Nothobranchius furzeri: one gene and its partner. The protein of the gene in region 1 purifies or fractionates together with the protein of each later gene. This does not show direct contact. Links are inferred from orthologs where the notes say so. Each region holds a gene or a part of one and is shown in the gene's direction. Other genes may lie near its edges. The genes, in order: slc37a3 and atraid.

Region 1 (3,928 bases):
CTACTCCTTCATCCCCATAATATTTGGATCCTCAACAGGTCAAAAATATTTTTCAGCTTCATTTGGATGAAAAGGCTAAAATAAATCTAATCTAAATGGTTTATCAGAGTAGAGTGTAGTTCCAACTTGTTGCCACTGGTTGGCGTCAATTTCCGTCTTCTGAGTTTGTCCTCCGCTACAGCATCAGCAGTGCAACATAACGTTTAGCTCAGGTAAAATAACATTTCCTTTATCAGTGTAACAAATAAGAGCTGTGGCGTGTAAGCCTGTGAATCTCGATGTGAGAGATTTGGCTGTTGTTTCTTCAAAATTTATGGGGTAGACGGCAGGGGCATGTCCAGGGAGTGGCCTGGGGTAGCACATGCCACCCTTGGAATCTTATTGGCCACCCCAGGTGCCACCACACTAATTTACCTTTAAATAGGCTTTTCATTGTCCACAAAAGGCTTGGGGGGTAAAACAAAAAAAGCATAACCATTGGTGCCACCCTTGCACAAAGGTGTGCCTCACCTGGGCCACCCCATTTTAAAAGATCTGGACACGCCACTGGAGACGGAGCGAGAAAGACGGGTGAGGGGGACAATGTTTCTAGGGGAAACATTTTGATGTAACACTTGGATTTTTCCTCCTGTCCTGTAGGGGCAGCAGCGCGCCGCGCTGAGCGCTCTGCTAGCGTTAATGACACATCCACAGTAAACACAACAGATTCAGCCAAGCTCCGAGCGAACGGTTCTAAAGGTAGGAACTCACCGTGTTTTTATTTTTATTTTTTCAACAATTTTATTCTCATTTATGTGTTTGACGGTCCCGGAACTTATGGTCCGTTGCGGTTTAGCCTGCCCTGACCCAACGCGGTAACATATATGACAGTTTCCTTCTTCAAATTCCCAAAAAAGAAAATAAATCGTTGAATGAAATTTTTTAAACAGACTACATACTAATGACAGTAGTTTAACTTAAACGACTCACACAATGGCTTAGTTATAGTTGCCATAGTAACGTCTGTTGAACGACACGAAAAGGGTCCATAGATTAAAAAAATCGTGTTTTGTTTGACCTTTAGCTTCAGACGTGTTTCTGTTAATATTTCAATCAGTTCAGTACGCAGTTTGAAGTAATAAACACATAGGAACCTAATAAGAACAGCCGGTTTCTAGGTGTGTTGATTATACAAAAGCTAATGAACTGTTTATTTTAATCCTCACATTGTGTTCTTGTCCAACCCATTTATCAGCAGTTACACAATAACAAAGACACTTAATAAATGATGCAAGCATCGGGTTTAATCTAACCTTGATCATCATCTAGAGTAAAATCGTGCTGCTTGAGAACTAAAACCCCACAGGAGGTTCTGAGAGTTTTATAAAAGCAGCAAAGCGAGTTGCTGCTGGACCCTCTGGTGGGGGATGCTTCTAAATGCCAACACACTGGCCTCTTTGATTGCTGCTCATGGCCGTTCACAAGGAGGCATTCAGACCAGGTGTCCGTAAAAAGCACAGGAAGACGGCTGCTTTCCACGAGGCAGCACTCGTCATCGTACCTGAACCTGTGCATTCATGCATGAATTGATGAAGTCCTCAAAAACGTGTCAAGATACCAGATCAACTATTTCATTTAACGTTGACTTCATTCCTCTGCAGGCTCCTCGTCCCTCCCGTAGTGATGTGTTTGTCCCATCTGGTTTAGCGGAGCATCCTAGTTGAACCTCTCCACATATTTCTCAAAGACCTCCAGCCAGCACCACCTCCTTCCTCATCCTCCTCTTCCTCCCTTCGCCCACCCCGTGATGCCTCCCTCGTACTGTGGCTATCTGTCACAGTACACCCATCATCATCTGGTTGTCTTTCTCCTCACCTTCTTTAGGTAATCTGGAGAGGTCACTGGGTTTGCCAGCATCAATAAAACAAATGTTTCTGCTTTCTTGACAGCACAGATCCATTTTTTTAAATCCATTCATTGATTCTTGAGATGCTTCCGTGTCTCTTTTTCTCCACCATATTTGAGTTTGTAGCTCTAGTTAAACCCATCCTTATCACCAACAGGAGATAAGCTCCCACAATGCAGCTCTTTGGCTCTAATGATAACGTCCTCCTCCAGTTGCTTTTCTGGGTGTAAGCATAGTAATTAGAACCCATGAGATGTATTTTTTATGCTTTTTTTTTTTTTTACTATTTTCAGTTTATATTTTGCTAATTTCAATATTTCTAATAAGCTCCATAAAAGACGATCAATAATTTAAACGTAGCTTGTGCAAAATGGGTTAAAGGTCGTCAGAGTGAGGTGACCTAGATGCTGTTAGAGCAGCAAGGATGATCAGTACTGTTTAATGTGCAGCCAAATTAAACACAGAATGACTTAAACTTTAAATGTTTTGCCATGTTTTGTCTTTTTGCAGCTATGTGTTGCTCCATGCATCCAGGAAGACGTTTAGCAACGTGAAAGTGAGCATCTCTGCTCAGTGGACACCCTCCATCCAGAACGACAGCATACCCGCGTTCTCCCCCAGTCAAGTAATGATCAAAACGTCCAATTAAAATCATTTTTTATTTAAAAAATGGCCACTCAGTGGCGACGCATGGCTGTTTTCCTAATTTGACACTTCAGAAGGCATGATTGGAAAGCTAAAGTTCAGGAAAAAACGTTTTTATACCTAGAGCATCCAGAAATGTAATTATGCATCAGAAAGGTTCCTTTTAGCTAATTTATTTTTATTTTTAGATAAACTGTTTAATTTGGTGTGTTTTCTGTCCAGACATGGGAGGACAATCGCCTTTTTGCTGATGAAAAGCAGGCTACTCTATTTCTGGGAGCTCTGGATTCGATCTTCCTCTTCTCTTACGCAGTGGTGAGTCAACCAGAACATGTTGACAAGAATCCTCAGCGGCCGTTTAAGTTAGCTCACGCTTCCTGACAGCAGTGTCAGCAGCCTTCTGCAGGAATTAAAATCAAGCAAAGAACTTTGAGTCTTTTTAATTTGAACCAAGTCAGTGTTTTATCTGCTCTCGTCCTCACAGGGTCTGTATCTGAGTGGAGTGGTAGGAGACAGAGTCAACCTGCGCTACGTTCTCTGCTTTGGCCTGTGCGGCTCTGCTATTGTGGTCAGAACTGAATGTTGTTGGCTTCTTGTGATGCTAATTATCTGCTGCTGAAAGACGCGTGTTCATTAGTAAACTATCTCATGAACCTCCTGACAGATGTGAATGAAACGCTCAGAGAGTCGGGATTTGTGTTTCCTTGCAGGAGTTTGTGTTTGGTACTCTGACGGAATGGCTCCACATCTACAACATCTATCTGTACTGTTGCCTCTGGGTGATGAACGGCCTGCTGCAGTCGGCCGTCTGGCCCTGCGTGGTGGCCGTCATGGGCAACTGGTTCGGCAAGGCGGGGTCTGTGACCAGTTTACAGGCAGCTGCTCACCAGGGATTTATAAAATTTATTTGTTCAATGTATTATTTATTTTTTCTAGGCGTGGTTTTGTGTTTGGGCTGTGGAGCGCCTGTGCTTCTGTTGGCAACATACTGGGAGCCTTCCTGGCTTCTAGTGTGCTCAAGTATGGATACGAGGTGTGAGACACACACACACACACCTTCAGCTTTTTTATTTTTTTTATTTTTTTGCCAAAACACTCTCAGAGCTAATATTTCCATCGTCTGTGCAGTATGCCTTCCTGGTGACATCTGTGGTGCAGTTTGCTGGCGGAGTGGTGGTGTTCTTCGGCCTCCTCACTTCCCCTAAAGAAGTTGGTAAGAAAGGCAGAAATGTGTGTCGTTTCCTAACCATAGAAGCTGTTGACCCAGTGAGTTCATTTGTGGCAGGTTTGGTGGAGTCAGAAACTGGACTTAGCCCAGTGGAGGCAGACTCAGACAGCCACAGGCCCCTGATGAGTGATGAGGAGGAAGAGGAGGTGCAGGTGTGCAGCAGGCGGTTC
Region 2 (2,776 bases), on another chromosome or scaffold:
TCAGGAGATATGTTCTTACTTCAGAAGGGTGGTAACAACTGCTGCCACCTAGCAGTCGGAGTTTGAATTGCACCACACAAAGAAATGCAGTAAATGTTTGCATGTAAATTCTTAATAAAAGCTCGATACATTGCTTTTAAATATTGATTCAGTATAACACAACAACTGCGATATTTCAATGTATCAATATTTTCTAAAAATTCCTAATTGTTATAACTGATGTATAAAAGAGTAATTGAAGACAGTTTTGTAGTCTGTTTGGACACATCTTAATCGAGCCAGTGTCTTTGTTCCTTTTGTTGGGAAATTTGTAAAGGTCAAGCATTCACGATTATAGAAAATCTGGATCTTTTTGTTACTCTGTGCTAAAACACGATATTTTTTTGTCAGGTTGGATTTATCCAATTGTTCGCTAACTCACGTGGACAATCTTCAAGAAGCATCCTCAGTGTTTATGATGTAAGTACACACAAACTACAAGTAGGAGAAAAATAAAGATTATTATTTTGTTGCTTAGTTTTTTCTGCATGTACAAGCTTTTTAATGATAAGATAGTACTGTAGTTCTGTTTCGCTGAACCCAGGATTAAAACATGTATGAGGCTAATTTCTTAGAAAGATGCTGACACAAATTTTTGTAGGAAGCAGAAATTTAGAAAAGTTTCCATTTTTTTTAACTTCATATTTTCCTTTTTTCTTCCTGGAAAATGTCTTGAACTGATGTTTTTTATAAATAGCGAAAGTCAATAAACCTCACAATTAAAATAATCTCTTCTTTGTTTTATTAGTATTTTACTGTCTAAATGTTTGTATTTTAGAGATCTCTCACGCAATCCACTTATCAACATCAGTGATGAAGTGTTTCAAGGATTTCTTGACTTAAATTACATGTAAGTATCCGCCGAGATCTATAATTATGACTGAATCAAATTTGTGATGAACTTTTATTTTCCTGCATAGTCAACTACAGTGTTTTTCTAGGGGTGTGTATTGGCAAGAATCTGGCTATACGATATTTATCACAATACAGGAGAGATGATACGATACATCACAATGCTAAAAACCAGATTATATTTGCGATTTTTAAGACAAAATGTAAAGGTGCACTATGTAAGAATATAGTGAGAATTTTACTGTGATGAAATCCCAAAAGAGTAATGTTTCAGTCATTTTGGAAGGAAGGTTATACTGAAACATATTTCATATCCAGCTGGCTGCGGAGATTGTCAGTTTTTCTCCCTTCAGAACAAAGGAAAGAGGGACGTAACTACTGTTTACCATCAGTGGATGTGGTGTTGCTGTGTCGCCTGCAAGCTAATACTGCAGTGCCAACAATTGTAATTTAACGACTGCCGGCAAAAAGCTCCAGAGTTGTTTAAAATGATTGCAGTAACCAAATTTTACCCCAGGATGTAATTTTTACTTCAATTCTACATAATGCACCTTCAAAGCTGCTATATCAAATTTACAGAAAGAGCTAGCTTTTAAGCTAATGCGGTCACAGAACACTCATTCCTCTTGTCGGCTATCATCCCCAGGCCACGTCTGCCAGAACAGGAAACCCACATTTCCAGAGGAAACTAAATACTGCTAAACACCACTAGCTGTTTTTTTACGCCCAAGCATCTTTTGTTTTCTAAAGTTGGAGTAGTAGCAGCTAGCTGTTTTTACTTTTCATATATTATTGACCGGCAAACCTTTCACACCAGTGATGTTCTGTTAATTAAACGAGAGCTTAGTGAGTGGAGGACTCAGGGAAATGTGGAAGTAAGGGGGTCTTGTGAGATCGACAACCGAATGGTCCAATTGTCGCATTTGGTCCAAGTCGTGTTATAGGGAGCCTAAGTCTACTTCCGCATCACGGGTCCCTGGAAAAACGAAAAAATGAATGCAAGTCAGTGGGGCTAAAAACGCTATTTTCTAATCCGCTTTGCCTTACGCCCTGGATCGCACATGTGTTGTACTGCAATTTAAATGAAAAGTAATGATGGGTATTTCGACCATGCCTGTCATGTACTTTGAGATTTTTTTGGCTTGTAAAAGTTATTAGCATGACTACAAACCAGAAATCGGCACGTCGCATACGTGACGTCACCACATCATCTCTAACCAAAGTAGCTGCTACTTACCAAATGGTAAATGGTAAATGGCCTGTATTTGATATAGCGCCTTCTAGAGTTCTTGAAACCCCCCAAGGCGCTTTACAACACAATCAGTCATTCACCCATTCACACACACATTCATACACTGGTGGGGATGAGCTACAATGTAGCCACAGCTGCTCTGGGGCGCACTGACAGAGGCGAGGCTGCCGAACACTGGCGCCACCGGTCCCTCCGACCACCACCAGCAGGCAACGTGGGTTAAGTGTCTTGCCCAAGGACACAACGACAGCGACAGACTGAGCGGGGCTCGAACCTGCAACCTTCCGATTACGGGGCGAGCACTTAACTCCTGTGCCACCGTTGCCCCAGATTTATGGCCAGATTTATGGTGGTTCTTTCCTCCTGTGGGAGGTTTGCTGAACTTACAGCCCTTTTCCCTCAGTTTTCTCCGTGTCTGGTTCAATGACGTCACTTTCGTGAAGCGTATTTGTAGTCCTGGATTTATTTTCACACAAACCCTAAAATAGTGGTTCCCCCTGTTCTAAAATAAACACGTTCTTGGTATGAAAAGTGTGTATTTAAAATTCACGGACATCATGTGTGAAATCCATGGCACAAAACAAGCGGATTAGAAAATAGCGTTTTTAGCCCCATTGACTTGCATTCATTTTT

The links.
Region 2: the proteins of slc37a3 (region 1) and atraid purify together in Homo sapiens (affinity purification with mass spectrometry; 3 studies listed by BioGRID and IntAct, counting the BioPlex papers as one, with this or other methods). This does not show direct contact. The link is inferred for Nothobranchius furzeri from reciprocal best matches to the Homo sapiens genes SLC37A3 and ATRAID.

What each region holds. Positions count from the first base shown.
Region 1 is NC_091741.1:53,486,705-53,490,632, reverse strand, and holds the start of slc37a3 (sugar phosphate exchanger 3), read left to right. Parts: upstream 1-1,652; 5' UTR 1,653-1,786; coding exon 1,787-1,863; intron 1,864-2,395; coding exon 2,396-2,510; intron 2,511-2,752; coding exon 2,753-2,845; intron 2,846-3,014; coding exon 3,015-3,098; intron 3,099-3,240; coding exon 3,241-3,386; intron 3,387-3,466; coding exon 3,467-3,563; intron 3,564-3,658; coding exon 3,659-3,743; intron 3,744-3,815; coding exon 3,816-3,928. UniProt on the Homo sapiens protein: Unlike the other SLC37 members, lacks glucose-6-phosphate antiporter activity.
Region 2 is NC_091742.1:1,494,684-1,497,459, forward strand, and holds part of atraid (all-trans retinoic acid-induced differentiation factor), read left to right. Parts: intron 1-390; coding exon 391-459; intron 460-817; coding exon 818-889; intron 890-2,776. UniProt on the Homo sapiens protein: Promotes osteoblast cell differentiation and terminal mineralization. Plays a role in inducing the cell cycle arrest via inhibiting CCND1 expression in all-trans-retinoic acid (ATRA) signal pathway.